Linked DNA regions of Saccharomyces cerevisiae S288C. Changing the gene in region 1 together with any one later gene gives a genetic interaction. Each region holds a gene or a part of one and is shown on either strand. Other genes may lie near its edges. The genes, in order: IRC10 and ADY3.

Region 1 (12,871 bases):
AATATCACAGAGAGGTGTCAATCCGGAAGTATACAATCAAATGCCTCGAGAAACAGCCGCTGGTCCTGCAAATATAAGGCCGTACGCTGGTCAGCCACACCCGGCGCCATTAGTGTATCCCCAACAACGACTACAACCACAACAACAGCAACCACAGCAGCAATATCATCAATACAATTTATATCAAAGAACTACTCCTGCTGGTCCAGATCCTTCTAATGTTATTTTACAAAGCAATCCTTATTTCAACGTTGCCCCAAACCAAGTGCCACAGCACAGAAATCCGGTACCAGGCGTCGGTTTTGCTCCGAATCCTTTACCAAACCAAAGCCCGATAACACAAGGATATAAGCCTGCCTATAAGAGGAGAATGCAAAACAAAAACTTGCCCCGAGCTACTACTTCACTGAACAATCCTTACGGATTTAGGTAAAAAAAGAAAAATGAAGGTTCTTTTTTTTTTTTTATATTCTACAAATCACAATAACCACCAACTTGTATTAAACCATATTTTATCATCTTCAGGAACTACTTATGCACAATATTCGTTCGCCAGTCTTTACTTGCGGTTCAATTTTATCCCATATAAATTTGTATTTTATTATCATACTACATACTTTATTGAAATCATATATTAACCTTTTCACTTTTCTCAAATAGAACGAGCAACAGGTCATATGAACGCTGACTAAATCTCTCAATTTTCTTCAAAGCATATTATAGTTCAAAATCGCGATGCGGTACCGTGAAAGTTTTGTCATCAAAGTAGGTCATCCAAAGCATCATTCTCAGATTCTGTTACTTCAACGATACTCGGCAAGTTGCTCTCTTCGTCATTAATATGGGTATTACTGCCGTCATCATGACTGTTATTAACTGTTTTATTATCATCATTGTTGTACTTGTTGCTACCATTATTACGACCACCACTGCCACCGCCATGTGGTTTCAACATAACAAAGAAAAAGAGCGCTATTACGCACAATGTTAGTAATAAAATGACTTTACATTTTTGAGTTCTCTTCTGGTAGTGTGTTGCTTTATTCAACTCTTTATCTGCACTTTTTAGCTCTACCACTGTATTTTCCAGATTATAATCAATCCTGTCCACAATAGTCCCCTGGTCAACAACCAAATCTTGCATTTCCCTGAAAATAGTGCTCACTTCTAATACACCCCTTGCCAACTGAGTAATTTCTTCGTCACGTTCTCTCAAATATGCTTCTGCAGAAGTGTCATGAAGCTGTTGCTGTCTCTGCAACGTCCTTTTTGAATAGTCTTCAATATCGAGGCCCTCTCTCTTCTCTCTTGCTGCCTCCTCTTCCTCATCATCTAATAATAGCGTGTTCTCTGCACTGGCCTTATTGCGGATAGGTTTCAAATCATCCTTGTTCAAGAATTTCAAGTAATTATTTTGTAATACTCTGAACTTATTACTTTCAGTTTGTATCTTTTCTGCATAGATCTTCTGTAGATTATCTAGTATAATCAGCTCTTCTCGACTTAATTGCTTACCATCCACAAATTGAGAGTTGTATATGGTCTTTAATCGTTTCATAACAGCGTAACATTTCTGCAGCATCTGAATTACTTTGAAACTTAGATCTTCAATCAGCGCCTCATCATGACTCTTGTCTTCAAAGCCAGGTAACGAATTCTTCCTATAAACCTTCGCCAACTGCTCACTTAACCGTCTCACCTCCAGAAGATAATCATCAACATCCTGCGCTATATCAATAAATATGGGTGGTAACGCATCACTGTGATTCTCATGCTTGTTTTTTCGTTCATCTGTCAATCTGGCCGATATATCGTGAGACATATTCATCATCGGGTATGTACCCATTTCAATATCTTGATCATCGCCCAAGGGTGCTTTCCCAGATGAGAAAGTTATGTTATGAGGGAAAGTCCTACGGTATGATAAAAATAAATTAGTTCTATCTCTAAACATGTTTGTAACGACTGCCTAGATCACAAAGCGATAAAATGTACATCAATTGGAGACTTTCCTGTCTTGCCGTACTTATAGTCTATTCTGCTATAATCTATACGCACTCACTTTACACCTTAAAAGCCCAATACAAACCGGTCCAACAATTATAATTCATCTATAGGGCATATACAAAAAAAAAAGGTAGGTGTAAAAGATAATAAAATACAACCCTATTAGCTTTGATAAAAAATTAGTAGGGTTAGAATGTCATATGGTAGGGTGATATAAACGCGTGAACTTTACGCGTTTATATGTACTAAGTTATTTTCGGTATTAGAGAATACCATATCAACGACTAACTCTTAAGCTTTCGATTGTATGAGCTGAAGAAACGGCCTGCTCATTACCAGGATATCTCTTTTTTTTAGACATCAAACAAGAAAATAAGGAACAAGAAATTTGAGGTACAATAATGACAGAAATTATTGATTTAGACTTGGTCGATGACTTTATCAAGAAACCTATGGTCAAACAACAGAAAAACCAGTCTTCAAAGCCTAGGGTAAAAAGAAGGGGTCAGTTGACCTTTGATGATTTCAGAAACATCAAAATTGTAGAAGAACCTGTTGTACTTTCTCACAATAGTTCAATTGACGAATCACTGGATGCTGCTACCCAAAATACTAAAAAGCGGGAGAAATATGAAGGTACCTGTGATGAAGAAATGAAAACTAAAGAAATGGAGGCAAATATGGCAAGCAAATATTCTAATATCAAAACACATTCGAACGACACTAACAAGGTAGAGTCGATCAGTGAACACACTACTTCTAATAATAGACCATTGAATACATTAAACTGGTCACCAAATATTCCTTTACGATATTCTGACTTTGCAAAGTTTATGAGTGATGAGACGGTAACGGAAAGCAATTGGGCGCCTCCCCTTTGCACCCCTCTCCCATATGCAGGCGATGTTATGAAGATCCTTTCTTTTATCGTCAAATTTAAATGGGTGTTCAGCGACGATCTACTGAACCTGTCATTTCAAGATGTGGAGATAGGACTAGAATTAAAGGTGGCTGGCCATTCTGCGAAGAATATTCGAATTTGTCAGGATAAAATGAATCTACTATTTTGCAGTCTTTTGAGGTTATTATTCTGCTCCGAGAAAAGAGCAGACAACCAAACTCATAGAAATTTCACGCTAAAAAGATTTCTTAGTTTGAAAAATCCATATGGAAAACTGGTTGGCAAACTCAGAAGCTTAATCCAGGAGTGGGGCTTACCAAAAGAATGGCGTGGTAATAGTGATATTTTATCTACTCTAAATTTTAATGGAGGTGGTTTGTTGACGATGGAACCATTAGATAGAATAATATTATTGAGATGCATGATCGATTGGAATTGTAGCTACTCCGCACTTTTCCATAATGAAATTCAAAGGCTCACTCACTTGAAAGGCGATACAGGGTTCAACCATCAAACTTTTCACGCCAGCAGGTTTGCTATGTGCGGGGCCAATAACATATTAGATAGTTGTGAAGTTTTATGCTCTTTGATGAGTCAAAAGTTGGAAAATCGAAAGAAAAGGAAGCCCAGCGACAAAGGAAAACTGAGTAAGATCAATAGTCAGATGAAATTTCTAAAGGGTGTTCGGAAATCATTGAGCGAAAAAGTAACTACAGACAGATTACGAGCTGCAGTTAAAATAAATGAAGAATGGGGTGAATATTTTGCAAACGAATTTACACACACACCAATTGATGATCCCACCGTAGACGAAATTTACAAGTTAAGGACATCAGAGTTTATGATAGCGAGAATTCCACGAGTTGGAGATTTCTACTTACCACCATTCTGGATTGGCAACGAATGCAGTTCAGTAAACACTAGTTACAGTTTCAATGACATGTCAACTTATCTTAATTACTTCGTAAAATTCAAAGAGGAGGGTACAAAAATACTGCCTGCAAAAACCGCACAAAATGAAAACAAGTGTCAACTTAAACTTATATATAGGAACACTCCTGCATGTATCCGTAATTTACAGTTCAATGATGTTCACTTTGCCGAGGTGCCGCATTGGTTTGAAGTTGCAGGAGACTCGAATTCTTTGAGCAACTTCATTGAGTATTTGGAAAGTTTATCATCACTTACTGAAAATGACACCGATGATACAAAAAAGGGTATAGACAATCTAATTGAGTTTTTGAAAATTTTCAGTATATTCATAAATGAGACTATTCAGCGCATAACTGCTGCCCCTACAGGCAGTACTGAAGGACGTCATTTGCGAACAAGCTCTCAGAGAAGAACCACGGTGCATTACTCGAGTGATGTAAATGGTGACGTTTCCGAGGAAAGTGAAAATGAAGTTGACATTGACGTTAGCGATGACTATGATTCAGAATATCTGAGTGAGGAGAATACATTGACAAGAAAAGGTGAAGATAGGACAGATAAATCTTTTGGGAAAAGAGAATTACACAATGGCGCTAAAGATTGTGATAGGAATTGTGATGATATAGAGATCTTCTCAGAACCCGTTAGGCAACTACAAGATAATTCTCGGGAAAAAAGAAGCTTGAGGCGTAATGCCAGAAAAGGTCTATAGTTTGAATGCCATGAAGTGTAGCTGCTGGTTACATAAAATCGTCACTAGCTTTACACATTAAATATTATATACGAATTTATGTACACGAATTCAAGTCCGTAATTTAGTCTTCTGACTTCGACTCCCGATCATCATGCAGTGTTTTCTTGCTATCGTCTTCCTCTTCACCAGCCAAAACTTTATGTTTATTCTTTGTTGCAGCTTTGACAATTTGAACAAAGGCATCCTTTGTTAATGCAGACTTCAATTTCATTTGCTCTTCTGTTAGTTCTCCCCCTTTCTTCTGAGATTGCAGACGTAAATCATCCAACGAATGTGTGACGCCGTCCAGAAGACTTTCATTGAGGGAATTCTCTTCTATATCGTTATCGCCATCGTCCCCTAATGAATACATATTTCTTAACCTCTTAATTCTATTATTAAGCTTCACAATTTCAATAGCGTCACGTAATTTCTTACGCAAAGAAAACCCTTTCTTAACGTCTGGTAAAATATTACTAGTTTCAACTCTCTTTGAAGTAATCCATGGATCGTCCAGCAATTCCGTAGCAGTTGGTCTGTCAGCTGGATTCAATCTCAATGCCTTCAAGATGAAACGCTTAACATCAATAGATATGTTATCCCAATATGGCATATGGAAGGTTACCGGGTATCTCGAAGCTGTACATTCCTCCATGAATCCTTCAACGCTTTCGGCAATAAAAGGAGAATAACCGCACAGTAAAGTATATGTGATCACACCAATGGACCATATATCACAAGGCTTACCATGTCCATCTTGTGTGAGGACTTCTGGTGCCACATAACCCAACGATCCGGCTGCTTTGTATATCAAATCCTCCTCCCCCTTCAATTGTTTAGCTATACCGAAGTCCGCAATTACCAGAGGCGAATTTTCTGACTTATCAACATACAAAACGTTCTCAGGTTTCAAATCCCTATGAACAACATTCTTGGAATGCATATACTCCACGGCACCAAGAATCTGAACTATGATTTCAACAGCATCCACTTCTGTGAACTTCCCTCTAGACAGAATTCTATCAAATAATTCACCTCCTGTTGCCAGCTGAGTGACAATATAGAACTTATCCTTCGATTCAAACCAATCCTTGAATGACACAATGTTCGGATGACTCAATTTTTGAAGAATGGACAGCTCTTCGTACAGCATCTGTAATTGCACATTGTTTCCCTGCAATGCCTTCTTCAATAAGATCTTTATAGCAACATCTTCATTTGTGGACAACTTTCTGGCTTGTCTCACAACACCGAAGGAACCGGCACCCAGTGTTCGACCGAAAATATAATTAGTCCTGTTGACGTAAGATTCAGGTTGACCGCTTAATTTATTGATAAATTTTGCTACAGGGTGGCCGTTTAGACGCTCTGGATCTTGGACATCTACATGAAATTCAGAATTTATGACCTCTGACTCCTTGGGCATTTTTGGTGTCTATATTTATATTGGCGATGTGATAGAAGAAAAGGTGACGAAAAGATTGATCAACGAATTGAAGTTCTGCTGATCTTGAACAATATCGTATTGTTTTATATTATTAGGATTACCAAGAGAAACAGCAATGGGTGGCTTCAAAGGGGGCAGGGTTCTAAGATAAGCCTCAATTATTCTCTTCGCGCTGCGTTAAAGCGGGCGCTTCTCCGAAAGTACAGCACGTTCTGAAAAGCCTCATCAACATAGAATCCATATGATGCTCAACGACTGGAAGTAAAAACATGAAAATTGAAAAAGAATATGCCTGCAGGAGCATTGGGAAGTACATAGTGGCTTATAGACTGCCAAAAAAAATCAGTACGGAAGCAAATGAACCTTATGTTATCCAGGGAGCGGTGAGTAACTGAGTAAAAACATTAGGCAAATTTCTTCCAAAAAATCATTGACATTGCCTGTCAATTGAGTAAATGAATAAATAAATAAATGCAAAAAAGCCAACCTAACTCTCCTGCAATGATACAATGAGTACTGTATCAACGACCATTAGTAAGTATCATGAAGTGTTTTGTATATTTGGAAAAAACCAGGCTGCATTGCCCCAGTGGTGTATTTATATCTACTGCAGTATGTTCTATTCTGTGAAGTTCCTAAAAGACACCGAGGTTTCTATGGCCTAACCATATTGTTGTTCTAACGCCTTTTCTATGTAAGGGTCCTTATTGTTCAAAGCCCCACCGCTCCTTCGCGCGTTGTGCCTATCATTGTGTCAGTAAATGTTAGGATACGGGAAGTGTATATATTAATTGAGTGGACACAGAAAACGCTCTAGAAAGGAATATCTCACAAAGAACTGTAATATAAGCCTACATTATTGATTTTTTTAGTTCTCTTGCCCTTATATTACCGTAAGTCTGCGGTATAATCACCTGGCCTAGTGCTTTTTCAATCATGTTCATTGAATACTCTAGATTACCAGGCTTCGAAAGCATCAATATATCATTTTCTAGAGGCATGCTAAGATTGGCTAAATTTACTAATTTCGCTACATACAAACAAAAATTAGAGTACTTCAGGCTGTTGGCAGGTTCAAACAAATACATCCAACGAATCAGCGTTGCTGACTTTGAGAGACATCCAGATGAAATCAATTATATTTACATTATACTAATATCCATTCTCCAAATGGAAGAGTGTATGCCAGTCCTAGTTCTATGTCCAACTGTTTATTGGGTACGATTCCACTGGCCTGGAAAATGTTCCGTGAACAGTTTGAACTTTACGAATGAAACGTTAAAAAGCGCTTTCCATGCTGTCTTCACTCCCTATTTTGCACTAATGAAAAAAGTTCTTGGAAGGATTAAAAACAACATGTTGCTATTTGCAGAACCTCATGCAAATTTAAATAATTTGTTTGTCAAGCATTTCCACGATCTCATATATAAGAGCGTAAAGGATGAAAAAACCGGCGAGGCAATTCTGTATTTGAGAACTAACGTTAATGTTCCAAATGTTTTTATTGACGATAAAAGAGCAGTTTTTCATGGTGACGGTATGAAAATTGGAAAATTTACCGGCAAATTTTTATGCTTTTCCTTCAAACGAACAATAAGATGGTCAAAATTAGATTCAGTGGATTCTTTTGCGGTTACGACAGTAAATTATAGAGTATCTGTAAATTGGGAAAAGACACCAAGAAAGACTTTCCTTTCTCTAGACAGTGACACCAAAAATTTACACTATATATCGAAAAAGATATTGAATAAAAAGGGAAAGAACGCCACTACATCAAAAACAACAAAAAGTTCATGCACAAGTGAGAACGTTTGCGATGATAAAACATTCTCCGTCGAATTCCCACTTACAACGTCAGCAAAAACTGAATATTTGTTGAGAAGTAATTTTTCTTTAGAAAAAATTAATGAAAGCAACAATCCTACCCTTCAAGAACTTACTTTAAACCGTACACATCGCTTATACCGATCAAATTTTCGCAATGAACAAAGCACCACACAGAGGAAGTTTGAAAAAATCGGTAGAACTGTCTCTACTGATTCAGGCAATAAACTGCTTACGTTTCCGGAACAAAAGGCCACAAGAGATAGTAACCCCTTCTCAATCGAATTGACACATGCAACAGTAATTTCCAGCGACGAAAGTGCCTTAAAAGACACTACTAATCAAGCGATAGCCGAAATGCAACGTATAACTCCTGCTATTGCAAAGACAATCTCGAGAAGAACAGCAAATTGGGTCTGCTCAAACCCAGCTCCTGATCCGTATGGGGAACCTTCAACGTGGTCCAGAATTTTGACCCCTAATTTGAAAATAATATCGGAATCATCACCATATTATCCAGTCCATCTAGCTTCACCAAATTCTACCTTTAGTAGAGATCAAAGTGTAAGAAGTGTTGTCATGAGGAGAAGTTCTGTATGTGTTGAAAAACAAAATAGTTTCTTCAGAAATTACGAACATTTCAAAAATATATTGTCGAGAAGAACTATTAAGGTTAAGACATCATGTCCTAGGCTGAGCGTTGACGTAAGTGACAACAAAAGAGAAAATTTATCACAAGAACACCTCATTTTACCGAACAAATCTAGAGAAAAAGTCAACCGATTTAAAAATTGCCTACATAGAGTTGCAGAAGCGCTCAGAGCTGCCAAAGAAAACTGGGATCAGCACAATCCCAGGAACTCTATTCATTAAGTACTGTTAGTTTTTATTTTGGGACACCCTTGACATATAGTTTAGAACTTTACCTACTTTACCCTTGTAAAGTTTCTTTCCTTACTTAGCGAAACTGTACTGAATAAGTTGTGTAAGACAGAATCTTTGATTTTTTCCAGGAATAATCATCACTGCCTACTGCTACAACAGACTAGTTTACTCTCCCTTTTTTCCGTTTTTATTCCGACAAGGGGCATGAACATTCAATACTAAATTCTTTTGTGCTTTTTTTGGGAAGCCTTTTCTAATAAGTACCAGAAGACACATTTTTATGTGACACTACTTTAAGCCTCGAATGTTTTTTTGTGCCCTATTATTTCTAAGCAAAATATTAAACAATCTAGGCCGTAATTAAAACGCCTATCTTGGTACAGTGTTACAGCGGCTTATACAGTTTATGTTAAACTTAAAATTACATAAAGTTTCGAGAACTTCCCCTTAAGAAGGGTCCGGGCGCAGGCAACTGAGCCTACTCGGAATAAACATCGATGACCGTTTTTGGAAAAAGGGTTTGTCGCGGCATATAATGGATACTGAAGAGGTCGCCTGAAAACCTGAAAATTTTTTAGCCACCATAAATAATAAATAGTTATATATATTAAAACATCATTTGCTATTTTATCAAAATTCCGTTGTAGCGTGGTCAATTGTTCAACTATTTCAATTGTTCAGAAAAGTGAAGCTACTTAAAAGTAGAACAAAAAAGAGTTACTCGAACGTTGAACTCTTTGATTATTTAAAGATTTCAGTTTAACAAAAAAAGTAAAGTAACGTGAGAATGTCTGATTCAACAACTTCCCCCACAACCACATTTTCTACTTCATTATCACCAAATGCGACCACATCATTTTTTTTGTGGTAACATGGGAGTGATGTATACGGCCATGTCTGGATACGAAACAGAAGACGCACAAGCCTACTGGGCATGCGGTAGAGCATATGAATCAGCTTTTGCAACGTTGACTAAAAAGGTTCCAGGAACCACATTCTCAGCTGATATGCCAACATCTACTTGGCATGGTGTCCTGGATTGCGGCTATTCCTCTTCAATTAACGTGGCAGAAAATAAAAGTTCGCCCATCGATTATTGGAATTGTGGTAGAACATATGCCAGGAATTATGCTCTGTCCGATGCGCTTTCACTGAAGCCAACGAATATGTTACAGTACTTTCTATTAGTATTATTTTTTATCTGCATTATACTATGAGAAAAGCTCATTAATATTTGAGCACTTAGATAAAGTTGCATATGTGTATGAATACATTCTGAAGCAGCCATTAATTATTAATTTATTCAAGGGCATAATCAGTCCAAAATTTATGTTTTTACAATTATTTTTTTTCTCGTTGTTGGTTTCTAAATGACCTAGGAGAATTATGTATAGAGATTAGAAGCTTTTCGACAATATAGACTTCATAATAACGAAATGATTTTACTTATGTCTGCAATTATTTCCTCATGCCTTCCTGTATTATCGCTTGTTAGTCCTAGTACGTTATTTGCACGCCTGTTCCGACTGAATTCGATGAGAGTTGGAATCTATGTCACATTTAGCACCGTATAGGCTAATATTCTAATAAGCGTGACAAAAAATTGGAGTGTTTTACTTGTAATTGATGAATATCAATTCAATGCCCCCATAGCTTTTTTTTACGGGTGATTCTTTTTTTATTGTATTTTTCCACCACGAACCGTAGATGGCTTATTGCATTTCTACATGAAAGAATAGTAAATGTGTAGCCTTTGTTACGTGAATAACTTACTTATCCAAGTATTAAAAGAATTTTGGACCAGATTTCTTCTTCTATTACTATCCCTCTAATTGAAATATGAGTGATTTTGAGATAATTGTTGGAATTTCATCGTTGTTACAGGTTATAATATTAAATATACAAAATATGCTGGAAGTTCTTCTTGAGTATATAGGAATTCACAAAAGGAGAGTCGATATATCTACATATTATGATAATGTTTACTTCTTCTTCCATTTTATATGTTATCATTTATTATCCTATTGCATTATCAACCTTAGGATTTCTGCTTCCTTTATATGTGATAGCTGTTCCTTAATCATTATGTCACCTTCCTATGCCGTATGTGATAATATACTAGTAACATGAATACCAATAATAAGTGGATGGTACTAGAATTACATTTCAACATAGGCTGAGTTGCTTTGGAAGGCCATGATGTGTATTATAAATTCTGAGTCTTTTCATGGTTCTCAGAAAAGATCGGGCGTGTGGTCTAGTGGTATGATTCTCGCTTTGGGCGACTTCCTGATTAACAGGGGGACAAAGCATGCGAGAGGCCCTGGGTTCAATTCCCAGCTCGCCCCCTTTTTTACTATTGAAAAGTATTCGGTCAGACGTAGCTGATCGATGTAGCATGTGTACGCATTTCTAGATATCGAGTAATTTCCGCTGATGTATAATATATATATATGTGTGTGTGTGTGTGTTTTTCATCCAGTAGTTTTTTTCTTTAAAAAAAACTATGTATAATATAAAACATGCAATCTAGATATGCTGGATAAATTTATCTGGTATGACAATTTTCTTGGCAATTTGCTCGCCCCCGTCTCCATGCAGAGAATTTACTTCGTGATTTTCTATTGTTAATTTGACAGGAATACCATTTTCTTTCTCATCTGAATTTGTGATCAAAAATTCGTAGGCTGATCGGCTTGACCCAACAGAATTATCACCAGTTTTATGTAATGGGAACGTATACCACGTAGGAGATGGTGTAGAGGTTGACCTTGTTCTCATTGCTAATGTGTCTATATTTTGAGTAGGCACTATCCTTATATCAGGGGAAGTTGTTCTTGTGGGAAGTAGATCTACTTCGTTTGCGAAACCTTGTTGATCTGTCGCTATCCCAGTGCTATCTGTTACGGTGGTCTGTGTCGTGATATCACTATTGGAAGTGAAAGTCGTTTGCACAACATTACCTTTTTCATCAAAGACAGGCAATCTACAAATAGGACAAGTCTGAGAACGTTCCATCCAATTCTTTAAACACGACAAATGAAGTATGTGGCCACAAGGTAACCTTTTGGGTTTCTTGTTTTTATTCTTCCACGTCTGCTGGTTTGGAGAATGTATTAACTCATCCATACAAATGATACAAATATTGTCATCATTTGCAGAATTTTGTAGCTGTTCTACGGTGACAGTGACAAGAGTGTCGTCGAGCTGTTTGTTATTTCTCCAGATTTTCCACAAACTTGTGCCACTTTGATATAGTGCCAAGATATCCCACACCACATCTTTCAAAAGCATCATAGGCATCCTAAATGGTATTAGCATAGACAAATGAAGTGCCGTTTTTAAGAATCTTGTGAATACGTCAATTGCTTTTTCATACATGAATTTACCCTCCAGGCCGGTAAATTGTCTATCATCATCGTCGTCATCGTCGTCGTCATTCAGCACTGGCTGAGATTGATCAGACTCAACCGTGTTTTCATCTGTAGGATCGCCATGGACAATATGGTTGTTCTCATTAGACAGACTTTGTTGTGAGCGATAAAATTCCCAGAAATTCAAACAAGTCTGTAGGAATAAATTTAGCAAATCAATCAAAAGCATGGTAAACTCCATTACTTGTATCAGGTAAAGGGATGTGGATTCAATATCACTCTTTTGGTTTGTATATATGGAGGAGATGCATCGTGTTATTATCTGGTAGTCTACAACCGCCAATAGTACGAGGTTAAATGAGAATCTACTAAAGATAAGGGTTTTCATTGTGGTGGAATCATTTATTGACTGTAATAAGGCCTCCAGCCTATCCTTTAAAATCCAATGGAAAACTTTCAGATAGAGTAGTAATAGTCCAAAAAATGCCACTGTGAAAAAATACCGTTCGTGGAACAGTGAGGACATAAACAAGGTGTTTATAATGGTAAATGGTAACCTTTCAAAAATGTGCTCATGCTCAATAAGCCTCAGTTCACCAAATAATAGTTTCGTTAGGAGTTGCCATAGTAAGGTAGAATTTAATAAGATGAATATCGACAAAACCATTAGATTGAAGCCTTCATTTAGCTTCAGTGTTACTTGCAAAAAGGAAACGCTTGTCTTGGTGGCTGAATACACGCAATAAAATGTGAGCAAATATGTGACA
Region 2 (17,739 bases), on another chromosome or scaffold:
TTGGCCCCAACGTCGTGGTGCGAGGAGAGATACCGCTGTTGCGTCGCCTCTTTGCGTGCAAGGGCTCGCTTCCACTGTCCTTCTTGTCGGCGTCAATGTACGCACTTAGGGCGGTCACGGGACTATCAATGTTCTTTTCAATTTGAAACTTTCGAAGGTTTTTCAAAGTAGACATAACGGTACTTATTTGCATGACTCTCATCAACCCTTCTTGAGTGCCAAACACAGAGACGTTTCTGAATACGTCAAAATATGATCTCAGCTGAGTGATGGCCTCAAAATTCGGAGGAACATTCGTAGCATTATTTTCTGCAAAAGAATTCCCTTGCTCTTTGACATCTTCTTGTTTCAATTTACGGAATATTTGTTCAATTTCTGTAGACTTTGTGTCATCACTCAAAAGCCGTTCCACTGCATTCCATTCAATATCAGGGACAAAACTATGCATAGATACGTCCAGCCAATTAATTTTCAAGTCCAAATCGAAAGCACCTTTCATTTGGGAAAAATGTGTAATATATGAACCATCAGGATAATAATAGACAAATGTGACACGAGGACAGTTGAAAAAAATCGTAGAATTACTTAGAACTTGTGTTTTCAATTGTAAAACCTTAACTTCCATTCTAACGATGCCAAATCTGCCTAATGTAGAGCAAATAACTGGGAACACTGGGATGATAAATTCGAATTCTCTATAATCTGTCATAGACTTTTTACTATACCTTATAACTGCATCAGGTGTAAAAATATCTGATATTAATTCTGTCCAGAATGAAAGCAGGCCAATCTTACCCATTGCCGTATTCACCTCATTTATTATTTCGTACAATTTCAACATCGCCAAATTAGATAAGTATTTTCTTACATGATACGGCACCCGTAACATAGATAAAGATGCCTGGGATGCAGACCGTGGTAACGGAGCAGCTGCCGTTGCTGCTGTAGCCATGGGATGGGGAAAGGATGCTACCGGCGTAAACATTGGCATAGACCCGCTGCCAGGGCCCCCAGTTGCATTCGTATTCTGCGCAGAGTTGTGAAAAGTTTGAGTCACTTGTGGAAGCTGGTTAAACACCTGCTGTTCTGATGAAGGCTGTGGAAATTGACCCCCCTGTGGTTGACCTGGAAATGGCACTTGTTGTGGATAAACCGTGGGCGGTATATTCTGCTGCGCGGTGGGAGGAAAGTTAATATTACCATTTGGGTACGGTGGTGTGTTATTATTCACAATGTAAGGCATCGGCACAGCTTGAGGAGGCGGTTGCGGTGGGCCTTGGTACATATTGCAGATAATCTTTGCTTTTCCTTCTGCCCCATGAACAGTGTCAAGTGTTGTCTTTATTGCTCCATAGTTAATATTTTTAGTTCAGGCGGGAAGCCCCACAAGATGAGAAAAGAAATCCGAGAGGCTTAAACAATACTATATGGGGCAAAGTTCTGCTCTATATAAAGAGAGGCGCATTTGCAAGAAATAGTTAAGAACTTTCCATAAATTGGTCAGATATAAATCAATTTATCGTGCTCAAATATACTATTCAGTTTCTCAGATATAGGTTGCACAAATTGGCAAAGTTCTACAAGAGTCATTCATACATCCCCTGATGAGTAAGATACTATTCTGCAAATCTAAAGTGTTCTTACACCCAACAAGCGATGCTAGAGATAATATTGCTGGTTTCCTGCTACTCACATTGGAAGCGAATAAGCTATCCCACCAAGCAATTCTCCAATATATCCCAGAATCTGGCTTATCCACATTAGAGATATCAAAACTACTAAAACATGAAGCTAAAGTGGGCACATGTCCAACTTCTACACCATTTGTTATTGAAAATTCAATAAACTTTAGTAACCTGGTCAATACTTCTTTAGGTCAAGCTTTCGAAATTTCTCTCTCACAAATATACTGCATCCAATTTAGGCCTCCTAGTCCAAATGGTTGGTATGTCGGATCTCTGGTAATATATCCCTTGACAGAACAGTTTACGGGCTTTCAACCTCCTGTCTTGTTCTTTCATGACCAACTCTGCCCATCAACTACGGACAAGTTAAAAAGACTACGCAAATCCATGAACCCATTTGATGACTCGGACGAATTGTATTGGGGTGGCGTAGATTTGAGAAACAAAATCAACGAACTGATGGAACTCAAGAAATCAAACTTAGAGCCAGAGTTTTGGTTAGTAAATCCCTCTTTGAATGATTTGAGAAATTTCGTTTCCAAGGATCTATTGGAAAGTTATAACAATTCGAAGAAAGATACAACTGAACTCGCTACCGCCGGTGTGAAACTAAACGAGAAATTCCAAGAATGGAAATGGAACGTAATGAGCAAGATAGCAGACGTGACTACCAAGTCTACCAATTTTATCGATAGTTGGCTGACTAACAACTCACCCATACAAAAATCACAAATCGACAATGAATACTTGCAAAAGCTTCTGAACAATGAGAAGGTTAAACAAATTGAACAGGATTATGACTCTGCAAGAGTGTATTTGGCAAACTGGTCATTAGGAGTAAAACAGGAAGCTGAGAGGTATCAAAAGCAGAACAAACTCTTTGATTCGTATAGGAATAACATTTTCAACGACCTGAATCTAACTGATGAATTAAGTGATACTGAAATAAATAATGCTCTGCAAAGACAATTTCCTTTAACGGAAGCGAAATGGAATTCGCTATGGGATGAGAACGATGGGAGGCTGAGGGTCACGGTAAACGAAGTTAAGGATTTCATATTTCATGGTGGGTTAGAAAATGACAGTTTGCGAGGGAAAGTTTGGGGTTTTCTCTTAGAAATATATCCGTGGGATTCTTCTCAAGACGAGAGGGTACAAATCGATCAAACTTTAGCCGCGGAATACGATCAATTGAAACTAACCTGGTCAAAAGATTTTTTACAATTTGACGATGAAGATGAAGAGGAATATTGGAACGATCAATTATTCAGAATATCTAAAGATGTGAGACGCTGTGATAGAAACTTGGAGATATTTCAATACAATACCATCGATGGATTACCACCACCGCCACAACAACTCCCAGCAAATGAAAATAACAGTACCAGCCCCGAATCCGCTAATGACGAGAGCGATGATGCAGACGATGGAGTCAGGAACCCACATTTGATACATTTACAAAACATTCTTATCACTTATAATGTCTACAACACAAACTTAGGCTACGTGCAGGGGATGACCGATCTTTTATCGCCTATTTATGTCATCATGAAGGAAGAATGGAAAACGTTTTGGTGTTTTACGCACTTCATGGACATTATGGAAAGAAATTTTCTAAGAGACCAGAGTGGCATCCATGAACAAATGTTAACTCTCGTGGAATTGGTACAATTAATGCTACCCGAATTGAGCGAACATTTAAACAAGTGTGATTCAGGAAACTTGTTCTTTTGCTTTCGAATGCTTCTAGTATGGTTCAAGAGAGAATTTGAAATGGAAGATATTATGCACATTTGGGAGAATTTCTGGACTTTCTACTACAGTTCACAATTCCAATTATTCTTCATGTTGGCCATTCTACAGAAAAACTCACAAGCTATTTTACAACATCTAAATCAGTTCGACCAAATATTAAAATTTTTTAATGAACTTAACGGGAAGTTGGATTGGAATGACCTAATGGTTAGAGCAGAGCTTTTGTTCAAGAAGTTTGAGAAAATGATGCACGTCATGGAAAGAGATTTACAAAACGTATCCTCCTCTTCATCCTCATCCTCTACCGGCGTATTGCCTTGTCAGAGCGAGAGGTTGACCCTGCTTCTTTCTAAAAAACCTATCATAAGACATGAAGGGCAAAGGAGCAAAAATTCCGTTAAATAGTGGTAAATAGAAACGGAACTTTACATATTGAATACCGGAGATATAATTCGTTTATGCCACATAATCATCAATACATCCGTAACCCGCCCGAAACGGAAAAACTGAAGAAAAATTACATAAAAAGTTTAATATTTTTATCAAATTTAATTGAACCTATATTTAGGAACATTATTGTTTTTAATTTCTAAACCGGTTGGGTTGGTCGATAGTTGTGCTCTGGATCATTGATAACCACTGACGTGTAATAGTTTTATTTCTTTGAAAAATTCAAAAGAAATAACAACACTCGTTCTCGGAAACAAGAAAATACACACAATAATGTCTACTATTCCCTCAGAAATCATCAATTGGACCATCTTAAATGAAATTATATCTATGGATGACGATGATTCCGATTTTTCTAAAGGTCTAATTATTCAATTTATCGACCAGGCACAAACAACTTTTGCTCAAATGCAACGACAGCTGGACGGTGAAAAAAATCTTACCGAATTAGACAATCTGGGCCATTTTTTAAAGGGTTCTTCTGCTGCATTAGGCTTACAAAGAATTGCCTGGGTTTGTGAAAGAATTCAAAACTTGGGAAGAAAAATGGAACATTTCTTCCCCAACAAGACCGAATTGGTCAACACTCTGAGCGATAAATCGATTATTAATGGAATCAATATTGATGAAGATGACGAGGAAATAAAGATACAAGTGGACGATAAAGACGAAAATTCCATATATCTCATCTTGATAGCAAAAGCTTTGAACCAGTCTAGGTTGGAGTTCAAACTGGCGAGAATTGAGTTATCTAAATATTACAACACAAACCTATAATCGTCATCATTTTATTCACACCTCCGGATAATCCATTCTTCCCCGGAAAAACACATGTACAATATATATTATATATATATATATATGTATATCAAATCATACAACTTACATAAAAACAACAAACCTGAATATTTTTCCTTTTCAAAAAGTAATTCTACCCCTAGATTTTGCATTGCTCCTCTATAACTCATTATTGGTTAAGGTGTAGATGTCACCAAGTTTATCAATGTAAAATTTAGGTCTTGGATAATCGTGCGAAATCTTCAAGGCTCTCTCTTCGGTTTCAATACCACTCAAAACGAGTAGTGTGCCACCTAACCCACCTTCAACACCGAATTTCATATCGGTGTTTAATCTGTCACCAACCATACAGCACTTTGATCTATCCAGGTTGAATGCCGATATAATGCTGTTTAGCATATTTTGATTTGGCTTACCACAGTACGATGGCCTCCTATTAGATGAGAATGCCAATGATTCAATCATGGAGCCTGCACCGGGAAATGTATAACCCTTTTGCGGGAAAGTAGAATCAACATTTGTACCAACAAAGTGAACAGAATCCTTCTGCAAATACTGCAGTGTAACAGCCAAACGGTGGTAATTTACCTTCGTGTCTAACCCAGCAATAACACAACTAACATCCTTATCAAGGCCGTTCACCAAAAATGGTGATTTAGCTGCATCGAACGGCGTATCCAATCTGGAATCGGCACCTCCTAGAGATTCGTACCCCATTAGTTTCAATTCTTCACCAATACCGCTTTCTCCAAATACCCATACCTTATCTTTGCCAGGCTGCAATTTCAGAAAGTCACGAATATAAACAGCTGACGCATAACCAGAGGTGAAAATCTGTTCTTCTTTGACATCAATACCAAACGAAGCAAACTTTTTCGTGTATGCTAAACGGGACTTGGTAGAGTTATTCGTAACGAAGATCAGTTGTTTGCCCAATTGCTTCAAAAGGTTTAGAATTTCCAGGGTGTATGGTAATGCTTGAGAACCTAACCATAATACACCATCACAATCGAACAGAAACGTGTCATATTTGTCCAAGAATTCTTGAGCAATCTCCTTATTGGTTATCTTTATTGGTACACCTTGTTGAGCAGTCATTTTCCCGAGTTGTATATTCTTTGTCAGGGCAAGCTATAAGGCTTTTTTTGTGATTTGGCTCGAGCTTGATATTTATGTCTGCTTGTTATAAACCGATTGCGTCAATTACAATTGAAAAATTCACTAAAACGGAAAGAACATTCACCGAAAAAAAGAAAAACCGGAAAGTTAATAGATAAGGGACGTCATTAATATACGATTAAGTAAATACTGAAAACGTGCTGGAGAATAGTAAAGATGTCACATCACCATCTTCAACGTCTTCCTCTACAAAACTTGAGTTGATAAAGAAGCATAGTATACACAAACGTATGTATCTCTTCAGAGAACTATATCCTGTGAGGGAAGATGAGACCATTCCCCATTATACTTCTTGAACGGGTAGTTGCGTCGAACAATCTACTTCCTATTCATATCTAAATGTTTATATAAATATATGGCTTTTCTTATCCACAGCTCAAGCCACTTATATCAATGACGATGCCATGAATAAATTGTCCAGGTTAAGTAAATCGGAACCCAAGTCATGAATAATTTGGCGAGAAATAGTTTCCACCAGGTTAGCTGGCCAGGTTGGGGCTCCCCAAATTCTTGTTTTAAGTTTCAATGCGTGAGCACCATCAATTATGCTTTTAGCACAACTGATCTCATTCGAATCCATACGACCTCTTAGCGATACTTTCCAATGATCAGAACCACAATGTTTCATTAATTGGCTGAACGAAACCGTCGCAGCTACAGATAGCTTTGAGTATTTGGGCTCCAAACTTAACAACGGCGCATCTAGAAATGCAAACCTTTGACTTGACTCAAAATAGCCGTTATCATTTCCATTGTCTAAAATATCCAATGACGTCGGGTAGTTGCCCGTTAGTATCACAGTAACAGGTCTCCAAATAATTTCATCCTTCTTCATATCGTAATATGTCAAATATCCAGAATCAATCAGAGATTTGAAATATTGCTCCATCAGCAGTTTATAAGTTAGTTCGTTATCATCCGACTTGAAATCAATATAAAAGAAGAGTGAAGTTTCTGGAGAGTTGAAAAATACACCATTTTTGCGATCGGCGTCTGAATCTTGGCAATTCACCTCGTCTAAAATCTCCAAGAGGGGGCCAGTGTATAGCTTGTCTAATGTCAATTCAACTGGGTCCAAATACGCTTCATTATGACCCACAGCTAGGATCTTTTCATCTATATTCCACACGTCGGCTTCAGTACTACTAGCACCATAGGCCAGACCTTCAAAAAGCGGAAGTTTCCTCCAGTAGTCATTATGGGAGTGAACTGGCATTGGGTTAACATCTTTGTTCAACTTTGCGATAGCAGAGTCTACTGGTAAACACTTTTTTGAACTGGCACGACGTAAGATATATTCTTTGAATACATCATAATATAAAGAAACGTGTTTGTGACGATACTTTTCCTCTGAAAAACTTAGAAATGGCAAGTTTTCCTGGAAAAATTCTAAAAGATGTTGACCGGTCAACCCAAAGTTATCAATATTCGATATTTTCTGGTCCTTTAACTTTTCCCAATCAGTTAATGAAGGATTTCTTCCCCTACTGGAAAACAAAGCACAGACAGCAATAACGTATCCAATAAGAATAGTTAGACACCCTTTCAGTCCTAACATCGCTTAACTAAACCGAGGTACTTATCTTTGTTGGTCTTATCTCGAGTCATATTTTATGCCTATCCGGCGATTTATCACTCGGAAGTTTGGATAGTTTCGGATTATAAAAGGAGACAAGATAAGGATTTTAAAACAGGCCATTGGCAAAAGAACAACATTTTATTGAATGAATATATGAATTGGGCTGTCCTTTGAAGAGGATATGACAAAAAGTGATTTATTATTTGATAAATTCAACGACAAACATGGAAAGTTTCTAGTTTTTTTTGGTACCTTTGTAGATACCCCTAAATTAGGAGAGCTGAGAATCAGAGAGAAAACATCTGTTGGAGTTCTCAACGGAATCATCAGGTTTGTGAACAGAAATTCACTCGATCCTGTCAAAGATTGTTTAGATCACGATAGTAGCTTATCACCAGAGGATGTCACGGTGGTTGACATAATTGGAAAAGACAAGACTCGAAATAACAGCTTTTATTTTCCAGGTTTTGTTGACACGCATAACCATGTCTCGCAATATCCAAATGTCGGCGTATTTGGGAATTCTACCCTGCTGGATTGGCTAGAGAAGTATACCTTCCCCATAGAAGCCGCACTAGCAAACGAAAATATTGCGAGAGAAGTTTACAATAAGGTAATAAGTAAGACGCTTTCTCACGGTACAACGACTGTGGCTTACTATAATACCATTGATCTCAAGTCCACTAAGCTCTTGGCTCAACTAAGCTCCTTATTGGGGCAGCGTGTTCTTGTTGGAAAAGTGTGCATGGATACCAATGGTCCCGAGTATTATATTGAAGATACTAAAACTTCCTTTGAAAGCACTGTGAAAGTTGTTAAGTACATACGGGAAACCATTTGTGATCCCCTCGTAAATCCTATAGTGACACCAAGGTTCGCGCCCTCTTGTTCTAGAGAACTAATGCAACAGTTGTCCAAGCTAGTCAAGGATGAAAACATACACGTTCAAACCCACTTGTCGGAAAATAAGGAGGAGATACAGTGGGTTCAAGATTTATTTCCCGAATGTGAGAGCTATACTGATGTATACGACAAATATGGGCTGCTCACAGAAAAAACAGTATTGGCACATTGTATTCATCTAACAGATGCCGAAGCGCGTGTGATTAAACAGCGTCGCTGTGGTATATCTCATTGTCCCATTTCCAACTCCTCTCTGACTTCTGGAGAGTGTAGGGTTCGATGGTTGCTGGACCAGGGCATAAAGGTTGGTCTAGGCACCGACGTTTCAGCCGGTCATTCTTGTAGCATACTCACCACCGGAAGGCAGGCCTTTGCAGTTTCAAGGCATTTGGCAATGAGAGAAACTGATCATGCAAAACTTTCAGTCTCCGAGTGCCTATTTCTTGCTACAATGGGCGGAGCACAAGTCTTGCGTATGGATGAGACCTTGGGGACTTTTGACGTCGGTAAGCAGTTTGACGCTCAAATGATCGATACCAATGCTCCCGGCTCAAACGTGGATATGTTTCATTGGCAGCTAAAGGAGAAGGATCAAATGCAAGAGCAAGAGCAAGAGCAAGGGCAAGACCCTTATAAGAACCCACCGCTGCTTACTAATGAAGACATAATCGCAAAATGGTTCTTTAACGGTGATGATCGCAACACCACTAAAGTTTGGGTAGCCGGCCAGCAAGTCTACCAGATTTAGTTGTATATGTTTAGAGGGCTACTATATCTTGTTCCAAGTATTAATGAGTAATTTGAGTATATGTACAAATTTCTTTTGCGTATCGCGCTTTAGCCGCCCATTGTACAATATTAAGATTAGGAACACAAAGAGATTTGCCAGTGAAAGAATTGCAAAACTCGGTTTGGGATTTTGAATGGGATAGTTGAATACAACAAACTTCTCCGAATATGAATCATTGGTTAGCATTTTTGAATAAGCCTGAATCCCTAAAGGAACAAAACTCGGATTGCGACCAGCAGGGGGAGATGAGACATGTTACTGATGGCACTTTAACTAAGTCTCCAGAAAGTAAACCTTTTCGAGAGCGGCGTTCACAAACTTGGATAGACTCTGAAGTACCTACGTCCACTGAAAAATCTAATGTGCAGGAAAGTATTTCTTCTGATATTATATCAAAACTGTCGAATAGGCGTTCCCGAAGAAACCGCTCAGAGAGTTGGGCAGGTTCAGAAGCCTCTTCACCTTCTGGTAACATTAGTACATTGGAAAATGCTACGGAAAAAAATACTTTAAAATCGCCTAATAAATTTCTACAAAGGGGTGGTTTACCAACTGTAGGAATAGGCTCGCAGGCTCTGTCACCTGCAGGAAAGCCCAGTACATTAGGAAATGTAAGCCCTGGTAAATTTACCACATACAAAGTACACAATAGTATTGAAGTGAATAGATTTTCTTCTACACCTACAAAGCTCCTCACGAATCCCCACAAAGTCGCAGCAATCTCAAATGATGAGCATTATGTTGTAAGCAATGAGAGTCTGGAGGAGAATATAGAGGTTGCGCATCTAGAGAACGTATTTCGCTCATCTAAAACTCCAGATGAAGAACAGTCCGAATATATGAAATTAGGAGAAATTAGGCTATCTTCTTCATCATATGGAGGAAGTATTTCTAAAGAAAATAGTTTACCCAAGGTATTAGATGAGCTCCAGTCCCAAAATGAAGAGATCAAAGCACTAAGACAAAAACTAGAAGAGAAGGATGACAGGATTCAAGAACTAGAAGAACTTAATAGCATGAATGATGCTAAACTTCAAAGAATAGAAGACTTGCAGAAGGAATTCCACAACGAAAGAAAAGCTGCATCAAAAAGGCTCAACATTGTTCAGGACCGGTTTCGCAAAGAAATTAAAAAAATTAGAGAAGAAAAAATTACAGACTTTCAAAACAAAAACGCTAGCAAGAAGGAGAAGAATGAAGTGACTAGTGCCAAAACTAAATGTAAAGCTTTTTCTCAAAGAAATATTTTAGTTTCGGAACTATACAGGAAGCAAAAACAAATCCTAAACTTGCAGCAAGAAAATGATAAATTTCTAAAAGATATTAACGAATCGAATAACTCTATAGTAAAATTAAGATCTGAAGTTGAAATACTGAAAAGCAATTTGCAACTTTCTCAAGATGAAAATAAAAAATTACATGATAATGGTTCGTTTTACGAGAAAAGGTTAAATGATGTTTACAGCTATATGCAAAATCTTTCTCTTTTTGAGAAAGACCTTGGTAAATTCATACTAGAAGAAATGAAATGTGGCCATTCCCCTTCGATGTTTCAAAACGGTTTTGCCAAGCTTTATCCGGATTTTCAAGATATCAAAAATCTTGAAAATATGGAGCAATACAAACAATTAAAAGGAAAGATAGAACTTTTGGAAAAGAATGACCGTATACGTCTTGAAAAAATCATTTCTGTCTTTAAATTGATTAATGAAAGATTACATTTTATGCAACAGCAGCACAGTCACAAAATAAAATATCTTCAAAAAGAGGCGTTAACAAAAGAACAACAATTTCGTTTGGAAAAAAGGAGATGGCATGATATCCTGAACCTCAAGGAAGAAAACTTTCAAAAACTGAAGAGCGAGTTAAAAGAAAAATTAATACTAAGTGAAAAAATTCAGAAAAATGCCGAAGATAAATTGAACGATTACATGAATGAACACCAGGAAATTGTTGAGAAACTTCAGAATCAGGCTTTGATTGCTTCAAGATGGAGCACTCAAATTCAAGAGTCAGAAAACACACATAAGAAAATTACTGACGAGTTAGCTGGAAAACAAAGTGAAATATTAAAACTCGAAGAAACAATTCTATCACTAAAAGAAGATGTATTCCAAGAGAAGCTGAATTTAAAAAAACTATATGGTGATCCTTCTACCGAACTTAATTTTGAAACTGTTGGAAAATCTTTTCCACATATAACGAAGGAAAAGTACGACTCCTTGGGTCTTGATATTCTGACAGACCTTACCTATGTGCAATCGCAAAATCTAATCAAAAATTTATTAATTGTGTTGGATATCCCATTAAAAACCTTCTTAAAAATTGTACCAACAATTGTCATTCAACTTAGATGTGAGCTTACACTTCTCACAAAATTTGCTAATGATTTGAACCTTAAGGTTTTTGGTAAACAGTTAGATTTCAAAAGTAGAAGAAAGGTCGCAATGAATGAGTTTTTGAACAATCATGATATTGCTGAAGTAAAGCATCCTCTTGAGTATGATTTGCAAGCGTTGTTTAAATATTTCTTTTCTTAGCTTTTTTTTTTTTATTTAGAACTAATATATTCAATGGTGTCATTAATTATTATTTAGAGAATAAGTTACTGGTGGGGGGTGCACCTAAAATAAAGTCACATAATATAGAGCATGGCAGATATTTTACCGCTGGTATTGCTTTTCCGAAATTTTGGTGGAATATTCTTCTGAAAGATTTCAATTTGCTAACAGACTTCTTAAGCACTTACAAGAACAATGTAACTTCTGATCTGCTGTTGGAGATGTTCTGAGATATAAACAAAATTTACATCAAAAGGCGAGTAATACAATGATACAAATGATTATAAGTACATACTAATGTTACAATTTCTAATTCCATTTTAGTCAGAATATACTATGTTGTATAATAATAAAATAATGTCCATTTCCATAGCATACTGGTAAGATTTTATTGAAATAGGCAAAGAAAAAAGCAAAGAACTCTAATAAGAACGACAAACCTCGAAATCTGAGGGGAAGGAGAAGAAAAAAAGGAAAATGAGGGGAAACTTACAGTTTCTGCCTATTATTTGTTTATTTCACCTTGTATGACCGTTGTGGTCGAATCTTTGACTGTGACAGGAGTTTTTATGTCACATTCGGAATAATCGATTGTTTTACTTTGCATAACGGTGGAAATAAAATGGTTGATTGATTCGTAGTTATCTAATTTTTGTAACTGCACATCTTTTAAAAGATTCATTAAAAATTTCGGAACCATTGCCATTTCTTCATTGTGAGTAATCAGGTAATCAACTATCTCAATAGCCAAAAAGTAATTTTCTCCCTTGTTTTGAGCGAATGAATCAACTAAACCTGATTCTGGTTCGTCAGGGACGTTATCATTGGAAATTTCTTTATGTCGCAAATATAAAATATTAGGTGTTATGACTGTGGATAAATTGTGAATGTCCATTTTTGATCCCATTTCATTCTCAATGTAAGAGAATGAGGACGTCCAATGCAAAAATGACAAAAGTGCCTCCAGTAAATTGCGATTGTAAGTGGGTAATAAGGAATATATTAGCAATATAACACGCTGTTTCTCATCCTCTAAATCAATTTTCGCGGCCTTAATCCATAGTTCATATAAGTCTGTCGATAAAATCGGTTGGGGAAGCTCTCTGATAAATTTCTTCAAAAGAGCAGATAATTGGATTGCATTTTCTTTCGAGAAGTCTGGAGCTTCTGTTGGATTACTGTCGATGTTAGCAGTTAGTTCTCTCAGTCTTCTGATATTTCCATTTTTCCTGAAAATACCTTCTACTGACATATCCATTTGCCTCAAAGATGATATTAGCTCGTCAATAATTATGGGGATCCTAATCTTCACTGGCCCCACACCTAAATCGGAATCAACACCCCATTTCTCGCACAACACATCTAAAGGAGCACCAAAAACAGTCTTAGTGATGGGCTTTTTAGGCTCCATGCTCATCATGATTTTCATTCTGTTCCAAAAGCTACCTGTGACTTGCTTTTCATTCGAGAAGACCATTGAGACTAAGCTAGTATAGTTAGGATCAGTCTTCGATATCAGTTGTTTACCAGCTAGCAGTGACAAACTGATAGCCCTTATCATCGAGAGTTCCATCGTACTTAATTCAGAGTAATAAACTCCGCTTTTCTTGGGAACAACATTCGAAGTTTCGTCATCGGTTTCTTTTAGTTTTTTAAAGTGTGCAAAAGCGTTAGGTCTTAGCTCCCTTGCTTGTTCAGCGGCAACAATACGTGAAATATCATCTAGTGTCAACGTCTTAGTATTACTGAAAACATTTTCACGTGTGCTCACTTGTTGGCTCGATGATGGGTCATCTGTTTGAATCACAAGATTTTTACTATCTCCTTGTTTTGTCGGGTCATTTAAATCTGTCTCTGCAGTTTCCAGTATCACTGATTTTCTAGCTTGTTGTTTGTTATGAGTGACCCGAACACTTTCTCTTCTAGATCTCAATCTTTTAATATCATTCAGTGTCCTAATGTAAGTTTGTTCCTTTAGCATAGTACTCTGTAAAGAGTTTCTGCCTACCTTGTTAGATGCTTTCGATTTCAACATTACAGTTCTTGATTTGACTAGGGCAATTTTTAGAAGAAAAATTAGTTGTGCTAGCTTAGTAACAAATTTGAAACCCGGCACAGAGGCCGGATCATCAATTGAGCAGTGAGAACATAGTATCTTTTTTTTCTCTTTATTAAAGGTGGGATCCGTCAAACTCCTCGGATTTATATTCTTATGGCATGAAGAACAAGTAAAACAAGCAATATGCCACCGGTGCTCATAAAATTGAATGCATTCCTCCTGTATGTATTTATTGCATCCAGCGCAACTATCTGTGGCGTTAACAGGAGTCTTTATATACTGAAACGGGTTATTTTCAAAAAGCTCATTTTTCTCTACTTCTCTTAAAAACCTCAACAATGGATTAACAGAATGAGTCAACTTATTGTTTTCTAGAGCCGTATATAGCCCAAATCTTGTTAACAGTTTTAGAAAATGGGCTAATCCAGTAATAACAGACATAAAAGATGAAATTGTGATAGTTTCGTTTTTGTTTTCTGTCCCTAACTTTCTTAAGAGTTGTAAATATATCATAATTTTTGTGGACAGATTTTTGGGAAACTTGCTGTATTTACTGGCCGCCATTGCGTTGTTTTCAATGCATTCTTGATCACTGTTAACTGGCATACTTTTGTTCGTCGAGAGGTTTAAAGTATCCAGTCCCCGGAAAAGACAGTCGATTTTTAGTACCAACAGACCCGTAGACTCTATGCCCTTTAACTGATCATTGCTTGTCAAATATTGAAACATATCAGAAATGCAAGAAGCTGCCTCTTCCTCAAAACGATATAAAACCGACCACGTTTTAGATAGAATAAAGTTAAACGCCTGCATTTGTTTATCTAACTCGTAGGCAGTTGGGTTTATATCTTTGTCTCCGGAATTTGGGTTATATTCCAGCTTGGGAAGGTACTGCAAACCAACAGTTTCTGCTGCTAAATTTACATGCCAATATTTATGAATTCCATAACATTCCGGATGCCAACAATGTATTTCTTCACCTTTAGGAAACTCGATATATTGATCCGATATTGGGAACTCGCACCCTTTGCAACGTTTCGAAAAATACTTGAGAAAGTGGTACTTGCAATACAATTGGTTTCCGTACATGAAGCATTTTTTAACCCCACAAGGAGTAGCACATATTGTACAAGAAAAATGCTCTTCGTCGTATCTGTAACCGAATGCGGTATAATATAATCCACGCAATGGGGTATCACATACATGACATAACAAATTATGTCTTCTAAAATAATCGTATTGGCATAACAATATAGATTCACTTGTCTTGTCTACTTGATATGGGAAGTACTTCGGTTTTAAAGGTTTCTGACAGTCTTGGCAGGTAAAACAACTTTCATGATAATATTTACCGAGAGCCTTTAAAGTTGTTTTAGTTCGTTGGCTATCGGGTATAACTAACTTGTTACAACGGGCGCATATTTTCTTCTGATTCTTCACCTGCACGGTCATCGGAGATGCAGTATTCAGCGATCGATAACCAGCAGAATTTTGAATCATTGCTCACCTCCGGTACTTGTTGTTTGATAATTTGTCTGCTCTTTTTTTCTTTGGATTTGAATAAATACGGTTGCGTATATCTGGGATAAAGGCCAAATAACAATGTTAAGGCAAAGACGGATACTGTTTTGAATGAGAAGCCCAATTGCTGGTTTCTAGCAAGAACAGCCTTGGTTGGCTCGAGAGGAATGATTTACATATTTTAAATTCTCAAATGACGTTTCAGATTCTGTTCTTATTTGTTTTCCATTTTGTTTACATCTTCCGTGCCCATCAATACCCGGCATACTTTGAAGACGAAAAAGATACTTACATAAAGATAAGGATATACTCGCCAAGATCGATTTCTTGAAGTAAATACTTTGTGGGGAGGTGTTGTAGCGATGGGCTAACCTGCAAGCATTAAGTTATATTTACTAGTGAGGTACGTTGTAGAAAAGTGCGTTACAACGAGAAGTAATTCAAACGTAAGTAGCACATGCGGGCTTCTTGATATATTTGCTAGCTCAAAAAGCTAACTGAGTACAACATGGGGGCCACCCATGTTGATTATGTTCTGGTCGTAAAGTGATCTTTTACGGGTTATATTGTTTGCCCATAATTTCAGTTTTGAGGTGCCTATCGCTTCTTCTCGTTTTGTTTTGGGAACGTTTGAGTATTTACTTTATAGTGCACTTTTTTGCGTTTTCATCTCTTGACTGTTCGAAAACCAATGTTGGTGAAGGAAATAGCTAAGTATGACCTCGCCTTAAACCAATCTTAGTATCCTGTCTCTTTGCCACAGCTATTTCCTACTTCCATTAAGATCAATTTCTTTGCTATTGGAATCACAGGCGACTTAGAATGCATTTTCTATACTAGTAATTCGCAATTTTCTTGTTTTCCACAACGGTTTAATACTAAGCAGATGATATGACAATATGGCAAACATGATATACAGAAGAGAGCTTAATGGGACCAACTAAAGTTAGATGACACCATGGTCCAATTTTCTGAGCATGAACAACGGCAGAACAATAGCTGAACTGGACCGATTTGATTTTTGAACAGGAAATCTGTAATTTTTTATGCTTTGTTTTATGTAGCGATTTTATGATTATTGTTAATTATACATCTCACAAAAGCCAAGAAGAAATCTGAAAAAGTGAGCCCACACGTAGACTATTTGACGCTCATGAAAGTTGTCAAGCCTTGTGTTAGCGTTAACGTACTTCATTTAAAACATGGCCGCTTCGTGAGAAGTGGAAGCATAGTATCGATATTTTCTATAATCTAAATTATTTTAGTGCCCATAATGCAGTATACTGTATCGTATAGGAGTTCTGACTTGCTAATGTAACACAGTAGACTTCACCTTCACTTATGGATACCATTGGCTTATTAAGACATCAGAGTTCATTAAATGAATAGTAACAATCCTTGCGCAAAAAAAGGCGTCGATGACGCACTTTTGCGTTCAAGTTTTATATACTTGGAAAGCTATGACTGATGAGACGGACCTGTTTCGCATAGAAATTCGGTGCTTAACATGTAATTGCACCTTTGTTTTTGAGAAATCCATGAATTTCGCGGTAAAGGCTCGATTAATGATTATTCTATATATATGTACTATAAGCCGATTATCGCAGTTTTTCCAGCCTCCTTAGTAAATTACCCACTGTTTTAAGATGAGTCCTACTGACGGGTTACATTTTTATAGTCTTTCTTCTCAGGCGACCCAAAGTTCTGTCTGACTGTCTCGTATTATATGTAGAAACGATAAAAAATTATATGGTGGCTACTGCGACCACCAATCCAAAGTGTCATACCTTGAGAATTAGACAATTGTATACAACACTAGCATGAACAGTATGGTAAATTTGGCGAGAGAATGAGAAGGCCTTGTATTATGTATTCCCGCATTGGTTTCTGTACCTTTCCCTTGCAGAAAACCACATGCATAAAAGTCGCTTGCCACATAACTCGCATTTGTGAAGCCATGCGAACCACACGTAAACGTTTCAGGACTTTCAGCAGGCTGCCCAGTGAGAAATGTATCATAAAAAATTGAATAAGTTGGGTTCTTTTCTTTAGCAGTTTTCTTTCCTTCAGCTACCCCACAATTATAAATTTCTGTCGGCGTATAGGTTTGATTAATATAGCCCTTGCTACCGCACTTAAACAATAGAGCATTTTCAGTTACGTTCATTTTTTTGTGTCTCTATTATAGATTTTTCTTGGGTGTGATGCAAAAATCGCTGATAGGAATTATAATAAAGGAATATATATATATATATATATATATATATATATATATAGGTACTAATTGGCTTTTCTTATACGCCTCCTATTGATTCACTGCCGAAAGTGCCCTGTTATATACGACAATCATACGCCTGTTTGCAAATAGTCAACATATTCAACTCGGAAGGTAAAAGATGAAAAGGCAATTTTTTTGATTTTCTAAGAAAATGCGCAGCGGGCAGAAGGGTCTTCGCAGG

The links.
Region 2: of IRC10 (region 1) and ADY3, changing one enhances a phenotype caused by changing the other (phenotypic enhancement), as found in Saccharomyces cerevisiae (one study listed by BioGRID).

What each region holds. Positions count from the first base shown.
Region 1 is NC_001147.6:290,121-302,991, forward strand, and holds IRC10 (Irc10p), read left to right. Parts: upstream 1-6,957; coding exon 6,958-8,718; downstream 8,719-12,871. Other genes in the region: TOS7 (Tos7p), read left to right, coding at 1-433; t-SNARE syntaxin TLG2, read right to left, coding at 761-1,954; ESC8 (Esc8p), read left to right, coding at 2,409-4,553; calmodulin-dependent protein kinase CMK2, read right to left, coding at 4,657-6,000; YOL014W (uncharacterized protein), read left to right, coding at 9,573-9,947; E3 ubiquitin-protein ligase HRD1, read right to left, coding at 11,260-12,871.
Region 2 is NC_001136.10:20,343-38,081, reverse strand, and holds ADY3 (Ady3p), read left to right. Parts: upstream 1-9,306; coding exon 9,307-11,679; downstream 11,680-17,739. Other genes in the region: MFG1 (Mfg1p), read right to left, coding at 1-1,285; GTPase-activating protein GYP7, read left to right, coding at 1,605-3,845; YPD1 (Ypd1p), read left to right, coding at 4,164-4,667; PHO13 (4-nitrophenylphosphatase), read right to left, coding at 4,848-5,786; AIM6 (Aim6p), read right to left, coding at 6,253-7,425; GUD1 (guanine deaminase), read left to right, coding at 7,628-9,097; GTPase-activating protein LRG1, read right to left, coding at 12,206-15,259; YDL241W (uncharacterized protein), read right to left, coding at 17,076-17,447. UniProt on the Saccharomyces cerevisiae protein: Involved in the pathway that organizes the prospore membrane (PSM) during sporulation. Mediates the assembly of the DON1 ring structure at the leading edge of PSM during meiosis II.